Linked DNA regions of Canis lupus familiaris. The protein of the gene in region 1 purifies or fractionates together with the protein of each later gene. This does not show direct contact. Links are inferred from orthologs where the notes say so. Each region holds a gene or a part of one and is shown on either strand. Other genes may lie near its edges. The genes, in order: FBL and RRP9.

What was found.
Region 2: the proteins of FBL (region 1) and RRP9 purify together in Homo sapiens (affinity purification with mass spectrometry; 3 studies listed by BioGRID and IntAct, counting the BioPlex papers as one, with this or other methods). This does not show direct contact. The link is inferred for Canis lupus familiaris from reciprocal best matches to the Homo sapiens genes FBL and RRP9.

Annotation. Positions count from the first base shown.
Region 1 is NC_049222.1:114,411,014-114,426,046, reverse strand, and holds the start of FBL (rRNA 2'-O-methyltransferase fibrillarin), read right to left. Parts: upstream 6,805-15,033; 5' UTR 6,659-6,804; coding exon 6,649-6,658; intron 1,653-6,648; coding exon 1,506-1,652; intron 1,392-1,505; coding exon 1,290-1,391; intron 1,200-1,289; coding exon 1,105-1,199; intron 1-1,104. Other genes in the region: IgGFc-binding protein, read right to left, coding at 13,800-14,030.
Region 2 is NC_049241.1:38,176,596-38,191,659, forward strand, and holds RRP9 (U3 small nucleolar RNA-interacting protein 2), read left to right. Parts: upstream 1-5,937; 5' UTR 5,938-5,952; coding exon 5,953-6,039; intron 6,040-6,347; coding exon 6,348-6,430; intron 6,431-9,843; coding exon 9,844-9,953; intron 9,954-10,335; coding exon 10,336-10,403; intron 10,404-10,486; coding exon 10,487-10,528; intron 10,529-10,843; coding exon 10,844-10,970; intron 10,971-11,580; coding exon 11,581-11,705; intron 11,706-11,788; coding exon 11,789-11,881; intron 11,882-12,160; coding exon 12,161-12,261; intron 12,262-12,348; coding exon 12,349-12,483; intron 12,484-12,559; coding exon 12,560-12,622; intron 12,623-12,772; coding exon 12,773-12,918; intron 12,919-12,999; coding exon 13,000-13,079; intron 13,080-13,865; coding exon 13,866-13,939; intron 13,940-14,035; coding exon 14,036-14,129; 3' UTR 14,130-14,206; downstream 14,207-15,064. Other genes in the region: protein mono-ADP-ribosyltransferase PARP3, read right to left, coding at 1-83, 1,278-1,455, 1,699-1,785, 1,994-2,140, 2,389-2,615, 2,705-2,837, 3,048-3,236, 3,463-3,588 and 1 more. UniProt on the Homo sapiens protein: Component of a nucleolar small nuclear ribonucleoprotein particle (snoRNP) thought to participate in the processing and modification of pre-ribosomal RNA (pre-rRNA).

The DNA.
Region 1 (15,033 bases):
GTACCTGCCCTCTCATGAAGGTTAATGACTCAGGTAGAAGGGGCAGGGACAGACAATAAACACAGAGATAAAAGATCGTATCAGTTAACAGCAAGACCTGTGTGTTCATTCAACAAACATTTGCTGTGCCAACATGTTCTGTGCCAGACCCTATGCCAGGCTACATAGTGAATGAGACAGACCCCTGCCCTCAAGGAGCAAGTCTACACCAAACTACGTACAGTACAGAAGCCAGTGACAGTTGCTAAGGAGAAAAGATCAAGCCAGGAAAGGACATACAGTAGGGGGAGGGGGCTGAGGAACAGGTGAAAATGAGGCAGGGTGGCCAGGGAAGTGCCTAGGAGACATATGCAGACCCGAAGGAGGTGGGGGCCATGCAAGTCACCTGGGGAAGCACATTCTAGGCAGCAGGAAAGGCAGCAAAAAGCCCTGAGCAGGAGCGTGCCTCATCATAAAGGTGAAGTGGGATAATAGAGCAGAGGGTAGGCTGCTTTTCATGGACTGGGTGGCACAAGGTGGCCTTGTGAGAAACACAAGGTGATGTTGACCAGAGATGCTGGTGATGAAAGGAACCAGACATACACACAGCTGGAGAGGAGGAGTATTCAAGATAGAGGGAAGAGCAAGGAGACCCGTATGGCTAGAAGACTCTAGGTCTGGGGCAGGGGTGGGGGCATGGGTGGGGAGGGGGAGCTGGAATGTGCAGGGTCTTCTGGGCCACACTGAGGACCTGGGACTTGAACCTGAAGGCAATGGGGATCTGACTTATGTATTAAGATGACTCCCGGGCAGCCCGGGTGGCTTAGCGGTTTAGCGCTGCCTTCAGCCCATGATCCTGGAGCCCTAGGATCGAGTCCCATGTCAGGCTCCCTGCATGGAGCCTGCTTCTCCCTCTGCCTGTGTCTCTGCCTTTCCACTCCCCTCTCTCTCTACCTTTCTCTCTGTCTCTCTCATGAATGAATAAATAAAATCTTAAAAAAAGAAAAAAAAAAAGAAAAAAAAAAAAAGAAAAAGGTGACTCCCTAGCTGGCATGTGTAGGATGCATGGTGGGGGTAGGGAGACCAGACCGCTGGCTACCCTGTCAGTTGGGGCCCTGGTCTCACCGAAATCGATACTCTCTTCTCTCCGTAAACTGATTCCCCAGGGACCAGATTCTTGGTGACAAGCGCATCTTCCTTTCCTCGACAAATGAAGACACCTAAGTGAGGAGACCAGCGCAGGGTGAAGACTCTGGGCTGCACCCCACAACCCACCCTACCCTCAGCAGCTCTGCACCCTCCCCACTCACCCTCATGCCGATGAGGTTCCACCATCACATTTTTCCCCGACTGGTTTCCTCTCTTCCCTCCCCGACCACGACCCCGGTTGCCGCCAGACTGGAAACCTCCACCTACAAGGCAGAGATGAAGTGAGAGAGGGAGATCCCATGATCTCTTCCCTCCCAAAGCCCAGGGAAAGCCTCCTAATCATATCCCACCTCCCACCCACTCCCAATGTCACTTACCACCTCGTCCTCCTCCTCCTCGGCCACGGCCCCTAAAGCCTCCACCACGACCTCTGCCCCCACCAAAGCCTCCTCGGCCTCCACCACGACCACCGCGGTCACCGAAGCCCCCTCGGCCACCGAAGCCGCCCCCGCGGGGGCTGAAACCTGTAGTGGCAACAGAAAGAGGAATTGGGGCAATTAAGTTTGAGAAGTTATGTCTCGTAATTCCACACAGGAAAATCAGGACCAATGCAGATGTCCACTGGCAGAATGGACAAATAAAATGGGGAGTATTCATAAGCACCAGTGACGAGGATCTATATAATTACAACAGGTAGATAAATCTTATTAGAGTCATGGGACGCCTGGGTGGCTCAGTGGTTGAGCACCTGCCTTTGGCTCAGGTTGTGACCCCAAGGTCCTGGGATCAAGTTCCGCATCGGGCTCCTCGCAGGGAGCCTGCTTCTCCCTCTGCCTATGTCTTTGCCTCTCTTTGTGTGTCTTTCATGAATAAATAAAATCTTAAAAAAACCCAAAAAACCAACAAACTTAAGAGTCATGTTAAGTGAAAAAGCAACTCGAAGACCATGTCCAACACAGTATTGGTCATAAGGCTCAGCAACAGCTAAATTTAAACAACGTCGTGCTGTGTTGATATACATGGTAACCCTGCCCCATGCCACCCCCCAAAAGAGGAAAGGGGACGATAAATGCAAAGCTGATAATACTGGGGATTGAGAGGGGAATATGAACAAGATTCAGGTAGGGGAGGGATACCCAGGTAGATGTAGGTTACTGTCAACATGCTGCTTTTGTTGGTCAGATAGGAGGTTTGAAGATCCACTCTATTTTCAGTGTTAGTCTGAAGCCTGTGCACGCATCGTGGCAGGAAGGGCCCCCAGACCCTGAAACCATGTCCGTGCCCTCCCACTCCTGAACTTCAGTCTGGAGGAAAAAGGCCAACCCCTAAACAGAGGGGAGTTGGCCATGATGTCTTTCTTGCTACCTCATCGACCTTCCTGCAAACTTGCAGAGGTCTCTCTCAGCTCAGAGGGAGAAAAAAAAACAAGAAAAAAGTCGAGTTGTCCTTTATGGATGGGCAACAGCACATAAGCAATTTAGGGCTTGTTACCTGGCCTGAAATCTGAAGGGGGGCAAAAAAAAAAGATTCAGGAAGACTTGATTTTCATCACCTCAGGTCAGAGCAAACATGCGCTGCACTGAGCTGGTAATGACGGCAGAAGCAGATGGCATTCTCCTGGTGCTAACAGATTCACTATCTGACTTTTCTGCGCCAGTGTCCTAAGCTCTGCACTACTTTGGGCAAAGCACAAGTTACAAAACAATAGTGTGACAATTAGGGATGCTCTAAAATGACCTCACCTGATGTCAACTACTCAATAGTAAACTAGCTAGAGTTTTTTGTAAAGGTGCGTTATATCTGCGCGCTATGAAATCTTCACACACTGTAAAGGTGTTAAAGATGAAAATACGCAGGCGCCCGGCCTGGGGGGCTCAGTCGGTTAAGCAGCTATCTTCAGCTCAGGTCATGATCTTGAGGTCCTGGGATGGGTCCCCGCATCGGGCTCCCTGCTCCCCTGCTCAGAAGGGAGGAGAGTCTGCTTCTCCCTCTGCCTCTGCCCACCTCCTTCCTGTGCATTCGCTCTCTCTCAAATAAAAAAAAAAAATTTTTTTTTTTTAAAGATTTTACTTATTTACTCATGACAGAGAGAGAGAGGCAGAGGGAGAGAAGCAGGCTCCATGCAGGGAGCCCGACGTGGAACTCGATCCCAGGGCTCCAGGATCACATCCCAGGCCGAAGGCGGCACCAAACCGCTGGGCCACCAGGGCTGCCCAATAAATAAAATCTTTAAGAAAAAAAAATTTTTTTAAAAGACGAAAATGTAGAGCTTTTAAACATTATTCCTAATTTAAGTACTAAAAGTTAAGTTTCAGAATTCCCGAAGAGTCGCCTTTACTCCCTCTACAGGCTCCTGCCCACAGGGCAGCTACAGATGGACCTTCTCCAAACCACAAAATTGGATCTCTTGATCCCCTTGCCTAAATCCCTTCCAATGGCTTTCCATCATGTTGAAAATGCAACTGAAATTCCTGTCTCTGGCTTCCAAAGCCTGAAATCAGTGGCTCTCACCTTTGGCTAATCCCTGGAACCTAGAGATCCCGATTTAGGTGTAGGGGCCTGAGCATTGGGCTTTTTAAGGTTCCCCAGGCAATCTGAAATGTGCAGCCTGAACTAAGAATGTCGCTGACTTTTGTGCCCTCACGCTTTCTGTTCTGGGCCTTGCACCCTTCCTCCTCAACTCACTCTCCAGCTTCTAAGCCCTTCATACCTGCTGTCCTTCCTGCACACATTAGCTGGGCTCACCCACTTCTTCGTTGCACTCAGCTCTCTGATGAAACATTCTTTCCTGAGAACTCAGGGCCTTCGGGCTCCCTACCTTTAGCTTCTTCCTATCAAGCATCACACATGGCACTTTTTACTTTATCACTGCCTGACTTCCCCACCAGCATCCCAAGGGACAGGGATGTTTTAATACTTTTGGTCACTCTGCATCCCCAGCACCATGCACAACATTTGGCACAAAGTGTGGGCTCAATAAATATTAAGTGAGCTGTCTGCTGATGACTCTTAAATCCCTGGGTTCTGCCCCGGGCGGGGGAAGCACTCTCTCTGTTCATTCAGGGAGCCCCAGTCCCCGCCCCTCAATCAGTTCATGTGTCCCGTACAGGGCGATGGAGATGCCACTCACGGCCCTAGAGAGTAGGGAAGGTTCATGGGAATCCTGAAAACTTTACCTGTAAGACAGAGATACGGCGATAACAATCACACATTGTAGGAAAAAAATGTCTTAATACACACAAAGCACTTCCCTCAACACACTGCCTGGTACACAGTTTGAACAGGAGTATTTTAATGAGGGGAAGGAGAGTCCCCCTGTCCTTCCACTTAGGGGAGAAATCACTAGGCTGAAGGGACTCTCATCCCAGGCCTGATGGAACAGTGACCTGAGAAGTGTGGGCATAGCTAGGGGACCTGGGGGCATGAGTGTCAACTTGCAGTTCTAGGTACTCAAAACATATCTATTCATTTCAGGTCCAGGGGAGCTTACAAAAATGTACCAGAAGTACCAACTCCTCAGGAAAACACACGTTTGCACACACATTTCCAGAAGTTTTGGGAGGAAGTTCCACGGACCCCCAGGTTTAGACCCTGCTCTCCTCCTAGAACCTTCCCATCTCAAAAATGGACACTCCATCCTTCCAGGTACATGTGTCCACACCCTGAGGTATCCTTGATCTCTCTTATACCCACATACAAGCTGTCGGCTTTATGTTCAAAATATATTTCCAAAGTGTGACAATTTGTCAGGCAGGTCCACTAATACCACCCTAGCCCAAGCCACATCATCTCCTACTAAATCACCACAAGTTTCCTGCTAATGCACCTGCTTCCACTTGTGCTCCCCTGATGCCCTTTACATAAAAAAACAATAAGGATCCTTTTAAATGTGTCAATCAGACAGCATTCTGTCCCTGCTCAAAATCTCCCCAGGGCTTCTTCTCTGTCAGACTCAAACCCTTAGTGAAGAGCTGACTCTTAACTGCTGCAGCTTCATATCCTAACACAATGAGGGAATGGTTGGGCGGAAGGTATATCCTCCATTCCTGGGGGAATCAAATTGTAGGGTGCCTGCAGGCATGCCGGGGTATGATGGAGAGACACAGTCCAGCATTGCCTCCCCGCCCATCATTTCATCAGGTCATCAGGTCTTCTTTCTCCTGAAGAAACCCACCCTCCCCCTCCACCAGATGACCCCATCTCTCCACACACGCAGGGAGGGTGGGAGAAAAAGGAAGTGCAAAGTGCAAAACAAAGACCTGTACTAGGAAACAGACCTTCTGGGTCACAGTGGAAGATTTCCCCAAACTCTAGCGAAGCAAGTTGTGGGGAGGGGCATTGCCTGATTTAGGAAGCCCCAAGTCACCAGGAAGAAAGACCCTAATTTTGTGCCTCTTGAGAGGAATGATAAAGATAACAGGAGGTGGAGACAAATACTATTATGTCAAGTCCTGTGCTTTTCCCCCTCGGCCTTATTGAACTATAACTGACATGTATATATAACATCACATATGCCAACCTGTTGATTTATTTGTACACTTAATCTATTGCAAAGAGATTACCACAATATGTACTTTTTCTTAACGTGATCTTGCTAAATTATAACTGGGCGCCATTTTACAAACGAGAAAACAGAGAAGTAAAGCCACTTGCCCAAGGTCACGCTGCAACTTAAGAACCAAAGCTAGTGCTGAAGTTTTGAACTGAGATCTTTCTTCTGTCAAAGCCTGCCCTCTCATCGATCTACCAACGGGGGAGGCGGGGTGGGTTCACCAGAATCTCGGGGAAAATCAAATGAATAAAATCACTCACGCGTCCTGTGACTATCTCCCTCCCCCACCCCACGCTAAGCCCGTCTTGGGCTCGTGAAGGTTCATCTCACCGCGAGTTGAGCATCACGATCACTCACACCTCGGAGACCCGCCCCTCGGGAGAGTAGAGAGCGGGAAAGTGGGGCAGAAAGGGCCACACACTCCCAAGCCGGGAGTCCTCATTCACTACGGCCCTCTCTGAGAAGCTGGTCTGGGAGCTAAGGGGGCTCTGGTTGCGGCGACACGCGAAGCAAACGGGGCTTCTCCCCGACCCCAAATCGGGACTCACCTCCGAGCCAACACATAATCCCCAAATCCCGCAGCCAGAGATCCAAGACCCCAGACGCCTGGATCCAGACTCTGGGTCGGTTGTCCCGACTGCCACCCCCAGCCCAATAACCGGGACCCCTAATGACGGCCTCAGGGAGTCGAATCCTAGCTCAGGAACCCCCTTCCAAACCCAGGACCCCCGACTCACGACCGTGACCTCCGAAGCCAGTCACACACCCCCAGACCAGGAACCCGCACCCCGGACTCAGCGTCGCTTCACAGGGAGGAGCCAAGACCCCCTCGCCACCGCCACGGGCGACCGGAACCAGGACCCCCTCCCCACTAGCGGCCGGACCCCCTGCCCCTAGGCCGGGGCCCCGCCCCTCGGGCTCCCGCCGGCCCCCAGTCCCCGACCCCGGCCCTCAACCCCGGCCTGCACCTGGCTTCATGGCGAGAGCTCAGCCCCGCGGCTCAGGACTCCGCGGCGGCCGGGACTACACGAGTCTGGGGCTTTCGCACGTGGAAAGGAGCGCACGCGCGGCGACGCACGGCGCGTGACGTAACCTCGCAGCCCCGCCCCTCGGAGCTCCTTCCGCGTCCGGAGCCCCGCGCGCGCGCTGTGGGCGGGGCTTCGCAAGCCTCTCAGGGCGCCGCCCCCGTGGGCGGCCTTAGGCGCGTCCATCGCGACGCTGAGCGCGCTTCCCGCCTTCTCTTGGGCGTGCGATCCTCCCCGGAGCCGGGGCTCGTCTCTTGTGCTCCCTGCTGCCCCTCTGCTCTGTTTGTGATTAACTTCCTAAGGTCTACACCCGAAAGCTTTCCCTGACCCATTTCCACCCGACGAACACGGACGATTCTGGGCTCACACATATGCAGTCGATTAAGCATTTATTTATTTATTTATTAAGATTTATTTATTTATTCATGATAGACACGGAGAGAGAGAGGCAGAGGCACAGGCAGAGGGAGAAGCAGGCTCCATGCAGGGAGCCCGACGCGGGACTCGATCCCGCGACCCCAGGATCACGCCCTGGGCGGAAGGCGGACGCTCAACCGCTGGGCCGCCCAGGGATCCCCGGAGTTCATCTTCTAGTGGGAGGAACAGACACCAACTAAGTTATTAGAAGGCAATAAAAGTGCTTTTGATGGAGGAACAGAGGACTAGCTGAGGACAAAGCACCGGCCCAGGGCAGCACATTGACAAGTCCTTGAGACAGGCAGAGGGACAGTCCTCTATGGACTCAACTGCCTCGATGTTAATACTTTGTTAAGGGCAAAAGGCAATATTAGCCTGACCCCCAGGATCCTGTGAGTCTACTTTAACATAAAAAAATTCCTTTAGAAATTTCCTTTATCTCTGGGATCCCTGGGTGGCTCAGCGGTTTAGCGCCTGCCTTCGCCCAGGGCGTGATCCTGGAGATGGAAGATCGAGTCCCACATCGGGTTCCTTGCATGGAGCCTGCTTCTCCCTCTGCCTCTCTCTCTCTCTCTGTGTCTCATGAATAAATAAATAAAATTTAAAAAAGAAAAAGAAATTTCCTTTATTTCTAAGTCTCCAAGATACATGTTGGCAATCATCCCCCAAGCACGTGGCCCACCGAGGTACATCTGAAGGGTCTCATGACTCAGGTTTTATTAGACGGTAATAAGTGCCCTTTTCCCAACAATAGCTACCCCCTCAAGGTGCTGGAAACCTTGCTTCCGAAATTCCTGAGAGAGTGTGCTATCCTCAAACCCCTCCCGGCTCCCAGGTACATAATCAGCCACCCCTCCCAGGCCCAAGGCAGCAGCCCTGGGTCCTGCCCCCATACTTTAATAAAACCATCATTTTGCACCAAAAATGTCTCAATAATTCTTTCTTGGTGGTCGGCTCCGGACTTCACCCCAACAAACCTCACCTATAATTCCCAAACTTCATCACTTTGGAGAAAATAAGAGGAGGAAAGGAAGATAGGACAGTTGGAGGAGAGGTGACTTTCTTAATCAGGCATCAAGGAATGCATCCAGTGACTTGAGCAAAGAGTTAAAAGGGATGAGGAGTGAGGCATGCACCTATCTGGGGGAAGAGAGGTCTAGGTATGGAGGATTGTAGGTGCAAAGGTCCTGGGGCGGGGATGGTATGGAGGGTTGGAGAGGCAGTGAGGGGTGTGGTTGGGGCAGAGTTTGCAAGCAGAGCAGAAAGAGATGAGAGCCCGGAGGTAACAAAGGAAATTGTGTGAGGATCTTGGGTGCCAGTGAAAGGACTTTGGCTTTTATTCCAAGTGAGATGGAGCTATGGGAGATTCTTGAACAAAGAAGGGATGTGATCTAACATGGGATCACCTTGTTTGCACATGGGAAACAGAGTGTGGGAACAGCCCTGAGAGGAGGGAGACCAAGGAGGAGGCTGCTGCAGTGGATCAGCTAGCAGACAAGGATGGACAAGATCAGGGTATAGGCAGAGGAAGGAGGGACGAGTGAGCAGATTCTAAGGAAGTATTGGGAATTTGGTGCTTTGTAATTTTATAATATTAATATTCATCCTTACATTCATTGCACAAAGCAAAACAAGTGCTACTATGAGATACAACTAAAAACCTCCGGGAGAATGCACTGGCCTGTCCCATTCATGGCTGTATCACTCAGTACCTAGAACAAGGCCTGGCCCAAAGTGGGTGCTCAGTCACTGTTTGTTGAATGAATGACTGAACCAATGCTTTTGAGTTCTTTGTGCGGGGTGTTCCAGCCACGCAGATGCATTTCTGAAAATCTGTTTAAATGTTAAGATGGAAAACCTGCTGAGTTTATTCTGGATTTCTGGGAGCTGTGTAATAATCAAATGGCTTAGGGCACCTGGGTGGCTCAGTGATTGAGCATCTGCCTTTGGCTCAGGTCATGATCTCGGTGTCCTGGGATCGAGTCCAGCATCAGATTCCCCTCAGGGAGTCTGCTTCTCCCTCTGCCTATGTCTCTGCCTCTGTGTGTCTCTCATGAATAAATAAATAAAATCTTTAAAAAAAATTGCTGCTTGTTTAAATCTGGGTCCAAACAAGTTCCCTTCATTTGGTTGTTCTCTCATTCTCTCTCTTTCTCTCTCTTTCTCTCTCTCTCTCTCTCTCTCTCACACACACACACGTACACACACACACACACTGGCCAAGAATTTTCAGAGATTACGATTTTTTCATTTTAAAACTGTTTTTTTTGGGGAAGTATGACATGCCTACAGAAAAGTGCATGTAACTGCCCAGCTTTATGAGTTATCACAAAGGGAAGAACCCATACCACCACCATTCAAGTCAACAAATAGAACATTACCAGTACTCTAAAAGCCCCTTGTACTCCTTCTCTTAGGTCTCTTTCATTTTTTTTTTAATTTTTATTTATGATAGTCACACACACACAGAGAGAGAGAGAGAGAGAGAGAGGCAGAGACATAGGCAGAGGGAGAAGCAGGCCCCATGCACCAGGAGCCCAACGTGGGATTCGATCCCGGGTCTCCAGGATCGTGCCCTGGGCCAAAGGCAGGCGCCAAACCGCTGCACCACCCAGGGATCCCAGGTCTCTTTCATTATGGACACTGTTCCCACCTTGCTTTTCTCACTTCATAACATAACCAGGAGATCACTCCAGTAACAGTGTTTCCAAATATGCCTTATTTTACTTTCATCTGCAGAATAGTTCATATGTAAATCAACCAGGCTGCTGATGGATATCTGAATTGTTTCTCTTTATTTAAAAGATTTTATTTGGGACCCCTGGGTGGCTCAGTAGTTGAGCATCTGCCTTCGGCTCAGGGCCTGATCCTGGAGCCCCGGGATGGAGTCCCACATCGGGCTCCCTGCTGGAGCCTGCTTCTCCCTCTGCCTGCGTCTCTGCCTTCTCTCTCTCTGCCTCTCATGAATAAATAAATAAAATCTTTTTTAAAAAAATCTTTTAAAAAGATTTTATTTATTTAAGAGAGAGAGAGAGAGCATGAACGGAGGTGGGGGCAGAGGGAGAGAGAGAAACAGACTCCTCACTGATCAGGGAGACCAGGACCCTGGGATCACGATCTGAGCCAAAGGCAGACACTTAAATGAGTGAGCCACCTAGGCACCCCTCCCCTCCTTTTTAAACCATAAAGAGCACTGTGATGAACAGCGTTGGCTTATATCCTTTTACTGCCATTGTAGCTTTGGGTTGGATTCCTAGTAGTGAGTTCACTGGGTCGGGAGAAAAAAGCATCTATAATTTTGAAAGATACTGCTGAGTTTCCCTGCATCAGACTTATGTTTGCATTCCCAGTGATAGGATATGAGATTTTTTTTTTTTTCCTGATAGCCTTGTCAGTAAATTCTGTTGTTGAGGTCTATCTGGTTGGTGAGAAGTGGTATCTTGGGTGATTTAATTTCCCTTTTTCTTAATATGGGTAGGATTGAGCATTTCTTATTTTTTTAAAAAAGATTTTATTCATTTTTTCATAAGAGAGAGAGAGAGGCAGGCTCCATGCAGGGAGCCCGACGTGGGACTCAATCCCAGGTCTCCAGAATTACACCCTGGGCCAAAGGCAGGCACCAAACCGCTGAGCCACCCAGGGATCCTGAGCATTTCTTATTTTTAAGGGCCATTTGTATCTATCTATTAGCTATCTAAAATTTTTGCCTCTTTTTTTTAAAAAAAGATTTTATTTATTTATTCATGAGAGAGCCAGAGAGAGAGAGAGAGAGAGAGAGCCAGAGAGAGAGAGAGAGGCACAGACACAGGCAGAGGGGGAAGCAGGCTCCAGCAGGGAGCCCGATGAGGGACTCGATCCCAGGTCCCCAGGATCACACCCTGGGCCGAAGGCGGCCCCGAGCTACCGGGGCTGCCCTTTTGCCTCTTTTACTATTGGATTGTTTCTTTTTCATCTTAATTTTTAGGGCATCTCAATTCCTTTTCTTGAAAGGGAGTTGAGCCTATGTGAGACTCACCAAAATTCGGTGGAAAGGACTGTGTTTGGTGGCATACTTGAATTCAAATCTAGGCTCCATTGTTACAACCTGCTTTTGGGCAACTTAACTTCAATAAGTCTATTTCTTTATATCTATCCTTGTTTTGCAGAGTTGCTGGGAAGCTCAGAAATACTATATATGGATAACCTGACCTATTGAATCATTCAACATATGTAGATTTCTTTCTCTGTCAATTGCATATGTATATTCTCCACTCTTTTTTTTTTTAATTGGGCTGCTATCTTGTTTTATTGATTTGAAGGAGTTCTTTATATATTGTGGATATAATCCTTTACTAGGTATGTTGCAACTCTTTACTCCAGGTTAATCGTTGGCCATTTATTCATTCAATAAGTATGTCCTGAGTATCTACTGTGTGCTAGGTGCTGAGAATAAAGTGGTGAATGAAGCAGATATAGTCTCTGCTTTTGAGTTACTTCTAAATGGGCAGAAAGTCAAATAAAAGTAATTTTAAAGTGTAACAAATGCTAGGAAGGAAATAAGCAAGCAGGCAAGCATCTGGCGCAGAGGGTAACAGGGAATCCACTTTAAATGACGTGGCTGTGAAAGGCCTCTCTAAGGCCTTAAGCTAACATGTAAGCTGACATTTGAAGGATGAGAAGCAGCTAATCATCTGGTAAGTGCAAAGAACAGCATATTGCAAAGAAGTAAAGTGGGAAAAATCTGGCATGTTCAGTACATTGAAAGATCAAGTTCCCAAATCATAATTGGCAAGGAGGACAGTGATTGGAGATGAGTCAGCAGAGGTGGGCAGGGGCCTTATAGGACAAGATGGCGAATTTGATTTTATTATGAGAAGTTTCTAGCCAATAGTCCCCCTTATATGTTAGGAAGAGTCATCAAATAGCAGTGAGGGTGGATTACAAAAGGGGAAGAGCAGGTAGGAGGCTGTTGGCATCATCAGCATAAAGGGGTGATGGCTGTATCAAGTAGGCATAAGAAAGGCAGATTTCAGGTACATTTTGATACAACCCAACAGGATTTGTGGATGAACTGAGTGGAGGGCAAAAGAGAGGGAAGAATCAAGAACGATCCCTATTTTCTATTACAGTGAGTATTGGCAGCGCTAGTCACTGGGTGGGTAAGGCCATCATGGGAAAGGTGGGGGAAGGGTTTAGAAAGGAAGAGAGATTTCAAATTTTGACTTGTGGATTGAATGGACACATTGAATCCTCACTCCAACTCTATGAGGTAGGTACTATCATGAACTCTGCTTTAAATATGATGCTGTTGGGGCATCTGAGTGGCTCAGTCAAGCATCTGACTCTTGGTTTCAGCTCAGGTCATGATCCCAGGGTCTTGAGATGAGCTCTACATCATGCTCCGTGCTCAACAAGGAGTCTGCTTGAGATTCTCTCCCTCTCCCTCTCCCCCTTCCCCTGCTCACACAGTGCTCTCTCTAAAACAAACAAACAAACAAACAAACAAACAAGCAAATAAGATGCTGTTGAGTGAATGTTTGAACCCTTGAGTCCCTTCAAAATGCTTATGTTGGGGCAGCCAGGGTAGCTCAGTGGTTTAGCGCCGCCTTCAGCCCAGGGCCTGATCCTGGAGCCCCAGGATTGAGTCCCACGTCGGGCTCCCTGCATGGAGCCTGCTTCTCCCTCTGCCTGTGTCTCTGCCTCTCTCTCTGAGCTGAAGGCAGATGCCCAACTGACTGAGACACCCAGGCGCCCCAGATTAGTGCCTTTATAAACTAATCCCCAGAGGGCTCCCTTGGCCCTTTGCCATATGATGACACATATGAGAAGATAGCCAATCATCAACCAGGGAGAGGACTCTCGCCAGGCACCAAATCTGCTGGTGCCTTGATCTTGAACTTCCCAGCTTCCAGAACCATGAGAAATAAATTTCTGCTGTTTCTAAGCCATCCATTCTACAGTATTTTCTTATAGCAGCTGCATAGACTAAGACATATATGGAAACCAAGTGGCAGAGAAGTTGTTGGATTATAAATTATAAAGCCAGAATCTATTCACCCTCTTTCCATTTTTGACTCCTTCCCTCCATTCAATTGTTCATCTTCCCCTCATCTACTTTTAATTATCCATGTCCCTATCTTTCCATTTTGCCACCCCATTCACCCATCCAGGTCCCCTTCCTCCTTCTCTCCCTTTCCCCTCCTTTCCACCCACCCATAATCTGTCCACTCACCCACCCATACCTCCAATCATCCTTTCACCCTTCGGTAAATATTCATCATGTGCCAGATGCCCCAGGCATATGACAGCTGCTGTGCAAGAAGGAAAGTCAGAGTGGAGAAGGCATAAGACACATTGGCATGCAGCTTAGCCTGAGATATTTATTCAATGCTCTAGCAATTGGCCTCAGTGGCTCATCAAAGGGGTAGAACAGTGTAGGGGCACACAGGGACACTGTGCACCCTCCAATTATTGGAATCTCCAGGAGGGTCAGGTCCCGAAGTCCTCATTCCCAGGAGATGATTGATCAGCTGTGACTGTAAGAGACAGACTCTTAGCAATTCTCTTGCAGATTGAGCACTTACCCCGACTGCCCCCTTCCCATGAGGACCCAGGTGCCCCTACCCCCAAGTAGCCTGGCTTCCATGCTACATCTCTCACCATGGGGAGAAGTCCTGCACTCTTCAGCTCTCCTGTTGTCATCTTCTGGAGTCATGCCCATCATTGGTCTGGGCCTTGTCAAAGTTTCCGCAGACCCCACACAGCTTTCCAGCATGGTCATCATTGACCATCACAGCCAGCTGCCCGTTGGTGCCAAGCCACACCTGGACCCCTGCCTTCTGAATAACACTCACGGAGCCATCGGGATTCTTACGTATGGACACAGATGCCGATAACTCAGCTGGGAGAGTCACAGGGAGACCATTCACCTGGTGATGGTAAGGGAAAAACAGAGGTGAGGCTAGAGTCACAAAAGAGTTGGAGGGTTACCAAGATGGAGACTCCAAGCAAGATAACAAGTTCAAGGAGCAAAAGCAGAGACACAAGTGCCAAAAGAGATAAAGACATGGATTGACGCACCGTATATAGAGATGCATACATAAGCTAGCTGGAGATTTGGAGAGATGGTTAAAAGGACAGAGAGATGGGTTGATGGATAAGTAAGAATGCACAAAACATTCCAGGGCCAGCCAGGGTGGTGAGGAGCACTTTGTACCAGATAGATAAACACACGATCCAACCCCAGCATCGTCCCGTATGGTTCTCCTTTTCAAAATAAAAGAACACTTGTGTGTGTCCTGTTAAGTTACTGGTTCCCAACAAGAGCAACTTCATGTCTTATTTTTTCAATGCTGATATCTACAGACAAGTAACGAGCTAGAAAGTATCACAATCATGTGAGAAAATTACTGTTTCTCTGTCATAAGCTGTGGACACAGTAACCTTGAGAACCTCATGAGTTTTTCCCTTTAAATAATTGTTGTTTGTTTTCTTTTTTTTAAAAAAATATTTTTATTTATTTATTCATGAAAGACACAAAGAGAGAGAGAGGCAGAGACACAGGCAGAGGGAGAAGCAGGCTCCATGCAGGGAGCCTGACGTGGGACTCGATCCCAGGTCTCCAGGATCAGGCCCTGGACTAAAGGCAGCGCTAAACTGCTGAGCCACCCAGACTGCCCCTGTTGTTTGTTTTCATTGATGAATTAATTATTCTAGAGTTAGACTCCGTAGAGAACCCTTCTTTGAAAGAAAAGTTCTTTTTTTCTAAATGCTTTGTGTCTGAGTCTTCCTCTGCCAGTTGATTTTGATTGGAAAGATAGATAGATATACCTGGATGGATGGATGGATGGATGGATGGATGGATGGATGGATGGACGGACTGATGGATTGGTGGGTGGATGTGTGGATGGATGGGTGATGGGTAGGTGGATG
Region 2 (15,064 bases), on another chromosome or scaffold:
GGTGATGTGGTGCTCTCTGCCCAGTGCCACCTCACCCAGGAACATGTAGCCAATTTGGTGGGCTCCGCAGGATATGCCAGTAACTGGGGGACACAGAGAAGCTCAACATGGGCAGCTTGGCCCTCCTATCTGACTTCCTGTCCCCCACTCTGCTGCACTATTATCTCCTCTGGCTTTGTTGACTCAGCCCAGAAAAGTGCCCACTCTTCCTGCATCCTTAAAAACACCCCCTTGTCCTGGCTGTGCTCCCTCCCACCCGCTCCCCCATTCCTTGGATCCCTGAGAGCAGGCCTCTGCAGCCCCTGCCCCTCACGCCAAGGTCAGTTATGAGTCCCAGTGGCTAAATCCAGGGTAGATGCCTTCTCTCTCTGGCCAGCTCTGCTGATTTCGCCACTGGTATCCTCTGCCCCTTACCTGGGGACCCCCTTGCACTGGCTCTCCCAAGGCCACCCTCTACTCCTTCCTAGGCTCCTCTGTTCTGGTGGACTCCTTGCCCTGGGCAACCTCAGATATCCTAGAACATCATCACCTCCATCCAGCCTGGCTCTCCTGGCTCAGTGGGAGGTAGGAGTCTCCAATGATGCGCTGGCTGAGAATCCAGTCTGGGGAGGTGGTCTTAGTGAGGACACCTCTGGACAGAAACTTGGGGATGATGAGAGATACCTCCGGCCCTGTCACACAAGCTTCCCATCTCACTTCTCATGCATTCCTCTCACGGATACTCTCTTCCCCCACCTCCACTGCCTGGGCTGGATGCCTATCACATCTGGCCTGGGTGAGAGCATGGCTTCCGTGCACCTCTGGCCCAGTGGCCCTCCCCATGGCTACAGCCACTGAGATGCTCTATATACAAGTCTGGTTAGGGTCCCCATCACTCCCTGGATAAACTCCAGCCCCCTGCCTACACCAGGCATTTGCTTGGATCTTTATCATCAGGCTGTGCTCAGAGGTCCTGACCTGCTGCAGCCTTCCAGGGTTTGTGCTTCTGGCTTCTTCACCTCCAAGCGTCCTCTTTCACTACCTTCCCCCGCCCCCACCTGTGGCTGGCTCACTCATCCTGAGGGTGATCTGCATCACCTTCTCTGGGAAGGGAAGCTGCCTGCCACTTCTAACCTATCCCTGGCCACTGCCCTCACTTTGAGTTCCCCCAGTCCCCGGGGAGCCCCACTGAGCACTCTAGTCAGTAGCCATTCAAAGATTCCTCTCCCAGATCCACCACAAGCTGGGAAAGCACTAGGGCTAGTCCCCCTGGGGGTTGGCCCCGAGAGATACCTCACCATAGCCAGCCGACTTGCTGTTCTCTGAGGCAAAGTAGATGCCCTTGCCAACGCGGCCGCCAGAATGTGGCATGATGCGGAGCCCACTGGCAAGGATGGCGGCCACCACCGCCACGTTGGTGCCATGCCACAGTAGCTTTCGATTACTCAGCTTGGAGTGGGCCTGGAACCTATCTCCCTTCAGGGGAAGGAGGTGGAAACAGGGAGCATCACATTATCCAAGCTCAGGTGCTTCTCCCCACTGTTCAGAGGGCATGAGCGAAGCAAAAGGCCCCTGTGGCCAGTGACATATACTCATGCACACATACGCAAGGCCTGGGTCTGGCGGAAGCTGATGAGTTGCTACACCGACTTGTTAATGGGCACATAAGCTAGGGACAGGTAGTGAGGGAAATGGGTTGGGGGGGATACTTTCCCTTACCTCCCCTTCTCGGTTCACTTTCCAAATGTGTTGAAGAGCAGGGCACCGGTAGGTGCCACCAGTCTTTTCTAAATAGGTATGTATCACCTGCAGGAAAAGCAGAAGCTAGTTGCCAAGGGTGAGAGATGTGTGGACAAACCCCCACTGGTGCTTCCAGTCCCAGAGCTCTCCTCAGGCCCTACAGACACAGGGAGAGAAGGCCAAGGGCAAGCGGCTCTTCTGCACACCAGGAGGGCAGATGGGCAGAGGGACAGTGCCTACTGTTGTCCTGGCTCCTCTGTGGGACATGGCCCACCTTGTACTCGGGTTCCTCTGGGTCCAGCAGCTGGAGCTGGCACTTAAGGAGCTGGTAGTCTCGGTCCAGGGGGTGTGGCACCTCCTCCACCTTTTCCTCTTCAGGGGATGCCTGCAGGGTCTGGGCCAGCTCGATGTCTGCCAGCACCTACAGTGATGGACGCTGACAGCTTGTCTGCCTAATTCAATCCCAGCCTCCTCCCTCCCACACGACCTGGGGCCCCAGCCACCTGACCTGTGCACTCCCACCACATCTATCCGGCTGGTCCTCCCCTCCCCTGTCCTTCCAGCTACCCATTCAGTCCGCCTATCTGGGCCTCCTTGGCCATCTGTCCCCCATCTCCCTTGCCCAGTCTGTCTGTCTGCCCTGCTGCCTGCCTGCTTGCCAAACCTCACCAGCAGCATGTCCTTTTTGGCCTGCAGAAGCTCAGGGGAGTTGATGGGCGGGGGCCGGTTGCGGCTGAAGTTGTGGGGAATGACAGTGTAGAAGTGGGAGGACAGCTCCTCCAGGTTGGGGCCACCATCCGTGGGGGCTTTCAGGGCCAGCTCCAGAGCCTCCAAAGCCTCGAAGCCCCGTGCAATCTGCTGCTTGCTCAACTTCCCTAGGGGCATCTTCTTTACATCTAATGGGTGGAGAGAGTGGGGGAGACTCAGCCCTGTAGTCCTGCCACCCCCGTGGCCCCTGCCTCCTGACTGGCCCCTCTCTCCTCACCCAGGTTCATGAGGGTCATGGCATTCTTGAACATGTCCTTGCTGAAGATGTTGGTGATGAGCTTCTGTGTGGGTGCGTCCAGGGAGCAGGGCCGTACCCGCTGAACTATGTTCCTCACTGAGCCTCCATCCACCTAGAGGTAGAGGGCGTGGATGGGCAGGAGCAGCTGGGCACAGCCAAAGCAGAACCTGGCATTAGAGACTGGCCACATTGAGGCCAGAGAGGGGAGGTGTATGCCCGAGGTCACACAGCCGGGCAGTGGCAGAAGCCAACTGGCTGGGTCTCTCCTTCCAGTCCCCTCCCTCATACTGGGGCCCACCAACACACTTCCTGGCCATTTCACCTTCACCACGGCCTCCTGGGCCTCATCTTCTCCTTGTACTTCGATGAGTGTGTACTTGCCCGGGTGGGCCACAAAGTGGTCCCGCTCCACCCATCTGTTCTTGGTCTTGTCCTGAAATTTCTTCTCAAAGTCCTTCTTTGCATCCTCCAGCAACACAAAGTAGCTGAGCTTCGACTGGCCCACCTCTCCCTGCAACCAACAGCCTCAGGCAGCAGGGCAGGCAGGGGGTGCGGGTGCCTGCCACAGTTGCCCACTGTGAAACATCTGGTTGGCCTCAGCTGTGCCAGGCCCTGTGCCAGGAGCCCCTGGGCATTCAGAGGTGGAGAGAGGGTGCAGGCAGTTGCCGAGTGAGCTGTGGGGACCCTGGTGAGCAGGGGTGGGGAAGGTGGGTCCAGGATGGCAAGGTGGCACTCACCACGCGGCCCCAGCGGTTCCAGCAGGCGAAGCGGTCCCCCTCTTCCAGCAGCTGGATGATGTAGAACTTGTTGTTGTTTCTTCCAATGTTGGTCTGATTCAGGGTGCAGGCGTAGTCTTCATGCACCTAGGGCCGGAGGGGGGTGGTGCTCTGGGGAGGGCAGGCCAGCCTGGACGGCCCTCAGATGGAACAGGTGGGAGAGCAGGCCGTAGGGAGGGCAGGCCACACAGTGACAGGGGTTTGAGGGGAACAGCAGTCAGGATGCACTGGGACATCCAGGGGAGGCTCTATCAGGAAAGGCTTGAGGTCATGGTTCTGCCCTGGGGGCCACAATCTGAGGGAACATGACTAAACTCAGTTGGGGGAAGTTCTGGGAGGATGTGGCTGTACCCTGTGTCAGGGAATCAGAGGGAGACACTGCTTCTGCCCTGGAGGTCTGACAGGACACCACTCTGCCATGCAAAAGGGATCTCAGTGGTACATGGCCCTCTGGGGCTGCTTTAGGGGTTACAGGTGAGCCCTGGGGAGACTAAGGAGGTTGAAATCCTGTCTTAAGTATGGCAGGTGGAGGCCTGAGAAGCTTGGAGGCTTACCCTAGGGTCTGAGGAGCAGACATGACTTGCCTGGATCTGATGGGCTATAACCCTACATGACCGTTGGGGTCTCAGGGAAACATAGCTTCTTGGGAGCCTGAGCTACCTGGCCAGAGCCGAGGCCCAGTGAGGAGGGGGACTGGTCTGAGTGTATTTGTACCTAGGCTCCAAGTCTGGAAGGGGACGACAGATTACCTGGGTCTGAGGGTTGTGGCTGAGCGGGCATGCTGGGTCCACTCGGACTACGTGCTTCTCTGTGGGTGCAGCTCTGAGGGCCTCGGCAGTGGAGCGGAAGCTGTCCTCCTCCTCTGCACCCTGCCGCCCCTTCTTTTTTTCAGGGCCCTCCTGTTGCACCTGGGGCTTGCGCTTTGGAGCCATGGCTCTTCTGGGGCACAAAGAGGGCCCTCAGGCCTTCATGGCCTCTGCATCCCACCTGGCTGGCACAGCACCAACGTGCCCCACTCTGGGTTTGCTCTTTTGGTGACCCTCTCCCCATTGCCTCCCCCCTGACTCCATCTCTCCATTCTCTAAGCCAGACCAAAACCAGCTCTCTGTACCAGTCCCCTTTCCCTTTTCCCATTCGCATGGGCCAGGCCAGGACCCTGTCCAGTCTGCCCCAGAGCCTCGGAAGAATGGTTCCCTATTCTCTTTAGCAATCCAGTGTCCTGATGAGGGAGGAAAAGTGAGGAGAATCTCTTCTTGCTTCTGGTCTCCTCCTCCCTCCAGAGCACTCCCTGGGTATTGCCCGCTCCGCCCCTGTCTCAGCTGACTCAGATGGACGTGGCATGGCTGCTGGGCTGAGTCACCCCAACTATGGAGGAGAGTGGGCAGCAGCTCCCAAGGGCCACACTCCCGAGGCCAGATCTGTCCCTCTAGAACTTGGGACCCTGCGGCCCAGAAATCCTTCCCAAGGGGTTTAAAAGTTCTGGGGTGCCAGTCAGGGTCTGAGACCAGTGGGCCAGCACCAGCACCACCCTGTCCTGCCCTGCCCTGCCCTGCCCTGCCCTGCCCTGCAGGGGGCTGTGGGCAGGGCCATAGGGCACTCACCTAAAAGAAGGAGGGACCTGGGAGAGATGGCAGCCACGGATCTAGTATCAGGACCCCCAGCAGTTCCGGTTCTAGGGCCTTCTCCAGCAACCCTCTGTAACCTTAGGCGTGACTTGGGGCAGTGATCTCCCTACAATCGCCAGGGGTGGGGCAGGGGCAGCGCAGGGGTGGGGGTGTGGTTTTCCAGCTATCTGGCCACCAGTCAAGTGAGTCAGAGGCTGGACTAGCGGAGCCCAGCAGCCTGTCCCACGGACCGCTGGACACTCGACCGGGAGAGCCAGCGCAGCCCAGGAGGCTGACGCGTCCCTCGCGCCGCTTGAGTGGCCCGAGGCACGCAATACGTGTCCGCCGGCTGCCCCGTGACCTTGGGCCCAGGTGCGGGCATCGCCTCCCTCTCCTCCGGGCTGCCTACGTTTCCTCGCCGTTACCTAGTGCCAGGCTGGTTCACCCTAGCTCCCGCCCCCGACGGGGAGGAGCCCCGCTGCGAGACTCGGGGCGCTGCATCTCTGACGCCCCCCAGCGTCCAAGGGCCGCAAACACAGAGAAGGCGCTTCTGGTCCGGCCCGCCCCTTGGTCGCCAGCCCGCAGCAGGGCGCAGGCGCCGCAGCTTTGGGCCGGAAGCGCCCGAGGAGGCTTGGAGCCCGGAGGAAGCCTTGGAGGCGGGGCCACAAGCGCTTATCCTATGGGCGCCTGGGGGCGGGACAGAGCGTACAGAGGCAGCCAATGGGGCCGTGGGAGGCGGGACCCGCGGGGCACTGGGAGCCTATCCGGGCGCGGAGTCCTGCCAGACCTCCGGGGCTAGCAGCCACGTGAGTTCTCCGTGGCGGCCGCTGCGCTCGCGGTGGGCAGCATGTCGGCGGCGGCGGCGGCTCGGAAGCGGGGAAGGCCGGCCTCGGGGGCCGCGGCCGGTGCGGGGGCCGGCAAGCGGCGGCGAAAGGTGAGCCTGAAGCTTCTGCGGGCCACAGTCAGCCCCGCCGCCGGGACCAGCGTCGTCCGCCCCGGGACACCCGGGCCCCGGGCGCCTCCGCGGCCCTTTTTTCGGGACCCTAGCTGGAGTCGGCTTCGTTCCTCTCTCCGGGGGCCAGGTCCTGAAAGACCTTGCACTGGAGCCGGCGGGGGCGGGGGCGGGGGCGGGGAGGCCACTGCCTTTCCTAGTCCGGCGGCTCTCGAGAGATCGGAAGGCGCGCTTGGTCAGTGCCCGGTGGTTGGGACCCCGGACTAACGAAAGGATCATTTAATTCTCAGGCCGACTCTGCCGGGGACCGGGGCAAGTCCAAGGGAGGCGGCAAGATGAATGAGGAGATTTCCAGCGACTCTGAGAGTGAGAGGTGAGCTCTCTCCCACCTGGAGGAAGGGAACACTGAGGCTCATAGTGTATGGAAGACTCAGGGAGTCGGGGCAGAGCTGGGCCTTTTCGGCTCCTAGGTCTTGGCTCTTCCCTCCAGTTCTGAGCCTGATAGTAGGACTCGTCTTAAGGAGATTGAGAAGTTTCCTCTCCTTTCCCGGCAGGGTCTCTGTGTGGGGAGAACCCCCAGTCCCAATGGGAGACCAGTGAGACCTCCCTGGTTCACGGCAGGGACAGGTGCACAAGCTGGACGGGCTGGTATGGGGAGAGGCATGCAAGAAATGCTTGCTAGTTCTTCCATCTGTTTTCCCACAATGTCAAATTGCTGTTCTCAACATATGCCAGGCACTGGCTTTACTGTTGACAATGCAGAGGTAAGCAGGCAGGTGAAGACAAAATGGGTTGTAATGAAGTGGGTATTCTTCAGCTCTGTGTTCTGGAGACAGGGAATGGGACATTTAAATAGGGCCTGGGGAGATAAGGAGGAATCTGTCAGATAAGGAAGGGCAGGGAGGACATTCAGGGAGCAGAGAAAAGTCTAGGGCTTTACATGTGCCCAAGTGGGAGATGGACAGGTTGGAAAGGCAGGTGTTGGCCGCATCCAGGTTGTGGAGGGCTTTGAATACCTCCATTCTGCAGGTGACAGGGGTGAGACATGTTGCAGGGTTTCAGAGGAAGTTAACAAGGTACCACGCCTGAGCCTGTGGAATGGAGGCCATCATACCAGGGAATCCTGGGGCCTTCCTTAGAGTTGACTTTAGAAATTCAGCTTCTAGGGACACCTGGGTGGCTCAGCGGTTTAGCGCCGCCTTCAGCCCAGGGAATTAAAAAAAAAGTTCCATAGTTTTCCTGATCCTGGAGTCCTGGGATCGAGTCTCACATCTGGCTCCCTGCATGGAGCCTGCTTCTCCCTCTGCCTGTGTCTCTGCCCGTCTCTCTGTGTCTCTCATGAATAAATAAAAAAAATCTTAAAAAAAAAAAGAAAAAGAAATTCAGCTTCTAACATTGAGCACAAGTTGGCCTTAACATGGTCACAGGAAGACTTCACATACTTACTTTTAAGATCACTGTGGGTAGCAGTGTGCCTGGCCCTGTGCCGAACACTTTTAAATGTTTAAAAAATGTGTTGTGGGGCAGCCCCAGTGGCACAGCGGTTTAGTGCCACCTGCGTCCCAGGGCGAGATCCTGGAGACCTGGGGTCGAGTCCCACGTCAGGCTTCCTGCATGGAGCCCGCTTCTCCCTCTGCCTGTGTCTCTGCCTCTTTCTCTCTGTGCCTCTATGAATAAATAAATAAAAAAAAATCTTAAAAAAAATGTGTTGTGAATGTATGAGATACAGAAGAATCAATGAAATGTATTTGGACCATAGGGGGCAATGGTGAGATGATGAACCTCCGTGCACCCACCACTTAGGAATTTAGAGGCCCCAACTCTGCATTCCTGACTTAATTGTTTCTTTGGTTTTCTCCTTCCTTCCTTCCTTCCTTCCTTCCTTCCTTCCTTCCTTCCTTCCTTCCTTCCTTCCTTCCTTCCTTCCCTCCCTCCCTCCCTCCCTTCTTCCTCTTCCTCCTTCTTTTTCTTTTCATTTTCTTAACCAGGTATAATTTACATACAGTAATATTCACTTTCTTTAGTGTACAGTATGTGAGTTTTGACAAACACATATAGTGGTGTAACTACCACCACTCTGAAGGTGTGGAAGGGTTTCATCATGCGCTAGAACCCCTCCTGCCACACACAACACTCCCACCCCCCCTCCTTTGGAGTCCATGCCCCCCTCCCTCTAGCCCCTGCTGACTACTGTCGCTAGAGTTTTGCGTTTTCCAGGATGTCATATGATTATATGCTTCTTTTCCTTTTTTTAAAGATATTATTTATTTATTCATGAGAGAGAAAGAGAGAGAGAGGCAGAGACATAGGGAGAGGGAGAAGCAGGCTCCATGCAGGGAACCTGATGTGGGACTCGATCCCGGGACTCCAGGATCACACCCTGGGCCAAAGGCAGGTGTTAAACCACTGAACCACCCAAGCGTCCCTTCCTTTGCTTTTCTTTATAGAGTTCTATCTCCTACATGTGAACCCCTATACGATAGATTGATTAGTTTGGGTGAATTGAGCAGAAGTTTTAACCATAGATATATACAGGAAGGGCAGAACCAAGCCTGTTGGCTGAAGGCTTGCTGGGCACTGGGTACTAGATGGTCTCTGGGGCCTGGTTCAGCCTTGGCTTCCTTGGCAGTTTCCAAGGTCCCTTCTGGGGACATTGTGGACAAAGTCATAAATGAATCTTGGGGAAGCAGTTGGGCCATTTGACAGATACTAGGTATCTTCAGGCACAAGATCGGGGGATGGTTCCTGTGGCCTGCCTGTAGCTCCCAGGAGCAAGTCTGCGTAGGATGTGTCTTGAGTGAGGTGAGTGCTCTAGCCAGTGCGAATATGAGACATGTAATGGAAAGCTTCACAAGGTCAGGCCAAGACCAGTTATGTTTCACCTGGAATCCTGTCCTCAGGGTAGATGCAGTGAGAGTGAGGTAGGCACGTCCCCAGTGTGTCTGCCTCTTGCTTGGGTCCTTTTTTTTTTTTTAAAGATTTTATTTATTCATGAGAGACACAGAGAGAGAGACAGAGAGAGACAGAGACACAGGCAGAGGGAGAAGCAGGCTCCATGCAGGGAGCTTGACGTGGGACTCAATCCCGGGTCTCCAGGATCATGCCCTGGGCTGAAGGTGGCGCTAAACCGCTGAGCCACCGGGGCTGCCCCTGCTTAGGTCCTTTTATCGGATCTGGGCTGGCCATAGCTCCCCTGTCTGGGGATGCATGGTCTGGGATCTGCCTTTTCTGCTTCCCGTATTGGAGCTCCTGTTCCTTGTCTCCCATGCCTTTGTCATTCCCAGCTGACTGTCTTGTGTTGGGGCACGTCCCTCATCCTGTTGTGAGGCTTAGAGAAGGCCAGTCCTGTGGCAGCTTGTACATCTAACAGTGTCTTCACTGGTCATCGAGGGTTTAACTGGTGTGGCCTTCCAGGGGTTCACACCTTGTGTAAACAGCTCAGTATTTTGTGTATGTGGCTCCTTTGTTGACCACTGTTGCTATTGATTCCAGACCCTTCGTATGTGACCTTTCTTCAACAGCTTGTAGAACCTGCTCTTTCCCTCTAGAGTTAAGAGATTTCACAGTGATCTCTTTGGATTTTGGGTCTCTTTTCACCCTCATGTGAGGACTGGGTGGTTCCTTTCAGTTTGACAAGTTCAGTCTTTGGGTTTTCTGCATATGTAATCGTTGGCTATGAGACGGAGGGGGGTGGTTGAGTGCCAGGGGAAGCAGTGAGGAGGTATGGTCTTAGTGGCTGGAAGAGTGGGGTGAGCCCTCTGAGAGCTATTCCCTTCCTTCCCGCAGCCTGGCTCCTAGGAAGACTGAGGAGGAAGAGGAAGAGGAGCTGGAGGAGACAGCCCAGGAGAAGAAGCTTCGCTTGGCCAAGCTCTACCTGGAGCAGCTCAGGCAGCAAGGTGAGCCCATGCACTGGCAGGCAGGGGCAGGGCCTGTGTCCAAGACCACCTGCTGTGCCCCAGCCGCCTGACGGGTGGCTGAGCAGGTACCTGGTGGATTGCCAGAGCTGCTGGTGTGGGATTTCCTGAAGGAGGGTGGCTGGGAGACTAATGGGCCTCCTGGGGTGGGTCTGACCTTCAGGGGGCTTTAGCCTAATCTCTAAGTAATGGCAGGGGTTAGGCAGGAGGAGATCTCTCCTTTGCCCAAGGCAGCCTGAACTTCCCTTGGGACACAACCCGAGTGTTTGGAGCCCAAGACCAAGGCAGTGGGGTGGGGTGGGAATGGGAAGGGAAAAGTGGAGTCTAGGCCTACATTGACTTGGTCTGGTCTGTCCTTGCATAGAGGAGGAGAAGGCCGAGGCCCGGGCATTTGAGGAGGACCAGGTGGCAGGGCGCCTGAAGGAGGATGTGGTGAGTTGTGGAGGGAAGGCGGTGGGAGAGAAGGGTTGGGCTGGTCCTGCTCTTGGGAGCTCATCCCTCTCCTCTCTGTGCAGCTGGAGCAGAGGGGCAGGCTGCAGAAGTCGGTGGCAAAGGAGGTAAGCGGGCAGGGGACTTTGATGTAAGATTGAAGTGAATCATGGGTCCCACATGGGTAGGTGAGTGAATGGCCTAACTGGGGACTCAGGCTGTGGGGTTTTTGCTCTGGAACTTGGGGGGCACTTAGGCAGACAGAGTCAGGTAAGGGTCTGATGCTTGCAGCCCTGGTCAGGGTGGTGGGAAAGGATGGTGTGTGTGTGTGTGTGTGTGTGTGTGTGTACACGCGTGTGTGCACGTGTGGTGTGTGTGCGAGTGAGTGAGCATCTAGGGGCCTTCTTGTCCTCTGTGGCAGTGACCTCACTCTGCTTGCCCAGATTCAGGGCCCAGCCCCGGCTGACATCCGTGTCTTACGGGGGCACCAGCTCTCCATCACGTGTGTGGTCATCACCCCCGATGACTCTGCCATCTTCTCTGCTGCCAAAGACTGCACCATTATCAAGTGTGAGTGAGCCTGGCTTGGGGGTGCAGACCCGGGGATCTTTTGGGAGGGCTGATCTGTGGAGGAGGGAGTAATCAGGGCAGACTGAGGCCTGGTGGGGGAAGCTTCTGGACATAAGTTTATTCCTAAGGAGGTGTTCTCTGGGTGCCAGTGAAAGCTTCTGCCTAAGAGTGGGGCTTGAGCTCCCCGTCGCTGTCATTGGAGGCGATTGAACAGAGGCAGGATACTGATGAATGGGGATTGGTGCTGTAGGTGGGCAGTTGGAGGACACTTGAGGCTCTGTGCTGTCCTGGGATTGCATCCCGGTCTTCCTGGGTACCCCCCTTCGACAGCTGAGTACTGTTTTCATCCACCCTTAGGAGAAACTGGAAGAACTCGTACCCTTGGTCCTAAGGCACTTTCCTATCCTCTCTGGGGCTTCGTGGCTGCCCTTGGGGGGTTACTGTCACTGGGTGACAGATGAGGAACCTGGGGATTATACAGGGGCTCACGGCAGCCGAGCTGAGTTCTGCTCTGAAGGCACCACTTTCTCCACAGCCCCGTGCTGCCCCTGAGGGGGTTGCCAGCCAGTCCTACCCTCTGTCCCAGTAACTTTCTCTTTCCTGTTGTCAGGGAGCGTGGAGACTGGACGGAAGCTTCACGTGATCCCACGGGCCAAGAAGGGTGTTGAGGGGCAACCCCCCAGCCACAGCAGCCATATTCTCTGCATGGCCATCTCCTCTGACGGCAAGTACCTCGTAAGGCAGTGCTGGCCCCGGGGGGTGGGCGAGAGTCGGGGGCACACATTGGGTGCCTGTGGCCATTGTCCTCATCTCCACAGGCCTCGGGTGACCGCAGCAAGCTCATTCTCATATGGGAGGCCCAGAGCTGCCAGCACCTGTACACTTTCACAGGCCATCGGGATGCCGTGTCGGTAGGAGCTGTGGGCATTTACCAAGCAACCAAGTGGGCCGGGCTGGGGCAATGGGCTGAATGAGGCAGAGGGTGTCCATCCTCAGGGACATAAAGGAGGTGAAGGGGAATTGCGGGGAGACTGAGCTTGCCTAGGGAGTGGGGAGGCTGCTCAGGAGTGCACCGCTGCCTCCCTGGGCTTGTGACGTGCTTTTTAGGAGGAAATCCTCCCCCGGCGAGGACTTCTGTCTCGCCTGCTGTGGTCCAGGTCCACTTTTGCTTCCTGTCCATGTATCTGTAGGGTCTGGCATTCCGCAGAGGAACCCACCAGCTCTATAGCACATCCCATGATCGCTCTGTGAAGGTGTGGAACGTGGCGGAGAACTCCTATGTGGAGACACTGTGAGTGTGCACGGGGAAAGGGTGTGCAGATGCATGTGCCAGTGCACATGGGACCCCATCCTCCCTCTGCCCCCTCTCCCCCTCCAGCTTTGGGCACCAGGATGCCGTCGCTGCGCTGGATGCCTTGAGCAGGGAGTGCTGTGTGACGGCTGGGGGCCGGGACGGGACGGTGCGTGTGTGGAAGATTCCTGAGGAGTCCCAGCTTGTCTTCTATGGCCACCAGTAAGGCTATCCACTGGGCCAGGTCAGGGGAGAGGGGCTGGGGTGGGGCTGTGCCCCTCACTGTTCCTTTTGCCAGGGGCTCCATCGACAGCATCCAGCTTATCAACGAGGAGCACATGGTATCGGGCGCAGATGATGGGTAAGAGCTGCCTTTGGGATGCCTTGCACCACTACCGCTGCTCCTGGACTTGGCTCCAGGAACCTTCCCTTGTGGCAGTGGGATTCCTTTCTGCTGAGTGGCCTTTCTGCCCTACCCCAGCCCCTTGCCAATTATGTTCTTTGTCCACAGCTCTGTGGCCTTGTGGGGTCTCTCTAAGAAGCGGCCGCTCGCCCTGCAGCGTGAGGCCCATGGGCTGCGGGGGGAGCCAGGCCTCGAGCAGCCCTTCTGGGTATCAGCAGTGGCGGCCCTGCTCAACACAGACCTTGTAGCCACAGGTGGGTGCCCTTTGAGGCAGAAAAGAGGGGGTTGCAGGGTGGGCCAGTGCGGGGGCGCTCACTATCTCCCTGACCCCTCAGGCTCCCACAACTCTTGCGTGAGGCTCTGGCAGTGTGGGGAGGGCTTCCGGCAGCTTGAACCTCTCTGCGACATTCCCCTGGTAAGTGGGGCTTGAATGCCTCGCCTATCTTTGCCACACTCCTGAGGCCCTAGAGTTCAGGGCACCTGGGATTAGCCCCTTATTTTTTTTCTTGCCAGAAGGGAGGCTCCTCAGGGCAAGGCTATGACTTGTTATTTTATAGTGCCAGTTCCTACCACAGGGCCTGATAGGAACCCTTCCTCCCTCCTCCACTCCTGTCTCCCCCCACCTCTCCTCTTAAACATTCACCTCCACCCTGTCCTGGGTACAGGGGAACAAGGCTAGGACAGCAGGGCACAGCATGTGCAAAGGCATGGGGGTGTCTGATGCTATGATGGCACCAATGGTGCCAGATTGGGCCCAGGCTAGGGGGTGTGGACACAGGGTGCCCTGAGGGAGATGGCAGGATGGTCGGTAACGTCTGGTGACAGCGCAGGGCTTGGTGATGGCCATGGGGTCTCCGGGACCTCACAGCTGGGAGCCACGCCTTAGGCCACCCCCTGAAACGTGACGTATTTGGCTTTCACTGTCTCCTTAAATCCTCACAAACTGCCTGTGAGGCCAGCGTGATGTTTCCCTCCATCTCACAGACGTGGAGGCTGAGGCCCTGAGGGGTCAGGGACTGATCAGGGGGCCCTGATCTGCTGGGGCAGAGCAGGGATTTAAGCTCCTAGGGCCAAGCCTGTGGCAGTGAGGCCAGGGCTGTGGTGCTAGGGAGGCGTGGCGGGGGGGGGGGGGGGGGCGGGGTAGGGGAAGGTGTGGGAGGGGTCTGTCCTCACATTTTCCCACATCTCTCCCTTTTCTCAGGTGGGTTTTATTAATAGCCTCAAGTTCTCCAGTTCGGGGGATTTCCTGGTGGCTGGGGTCGGGCAGGAGCACAGGTATGAGGCACCCTGGGAGGTGGCACTGGCTGGGCTACCAGATGGGGTGCAGGGGGCTGGGCCTGGCCTCAGCTGCTTCCCTTCTACCCCCTGCAGGCTTGGCCGCTGGTGGCGCATCAAAGAGGCTCGGAACTCCGTCTGCATCATCCCGCTCCACAGGGCCCCCAGGCCCCCTGCGGCAGGCTCCTGACTCCTCTCCCCTTTATTTAAGTCCTTTCTAGACCAGGCCCTGCCCTCTTTGTATTAAAAGCCTCCTCTTTTGGGCTTTGTCTCTTGAAGCTTCTCGACTGGGGAGGGAGGGTGATGGCAGGACTGTGGGGGGGGGGGCAGGGCTCCTACCAGCATCTCTGATGCATAAGGGCTTTCTGTCCTTTCATGGAACCTGGGGATGGAGACCTCATCCACCTCCTGGTCTCTTGAGTATCCTCTGTGACCTTGTTAGGCCAGCTCCCCACCCACTGCTCTGGGCTGCGAGGGGTCAGAAGCTGCAGACCCCTTGGCTAGGGAGCCATGGCTGTCCAGTTATGTACCAGGGCTGGCTGTCAGTCAGAATTGAAATGAAGAAAGCTAGGCCTGCATGTCAGGCTTACCTGGCCCACCCAGGCCAGTTCAGGAAGCTAGAGATGGGTGGGGTAGGGGGATACCACACTGCCTACTACCTGAGGACAAGTGTCAGAGTTGAGAATAGCTCTGCCCTTGGTCTGAATGCCAGCCAGGCTGTCACAAGAATGTTCTTTCTGCTGATTTTATCTATTGGACAATTCACTCCTGCTACTGGCGGAGCCAGGAGAGACAGACCAGAGATGTAGAAGTGCAGGAAAGTATCCTCTTAGTGGGAAGAAGGAAATGTTATGGGTTCTGCTCTAACCTTTTTTTAACCCATTGGGCTCAACCACTGAGCCTGTAGTTCCCAAGAGGCAGCATGGTCCCCTCGGGAGGAAGCCACAGGGCTTTTCTCCTGCTACCATGCTCAGGAGGCTTCCCCTCAGACAGACCTGCTCTTGCCTGCCTTCATTTCTCCTGGGGCCAGAGGGGTCAGGTTCAGATCAAAGCCCTGAAAATCCTGTTCTGAATCAGAAGATGGTGATAGAATTCGCTTCCTGTGTCTTGCCTCACATTGAGCTC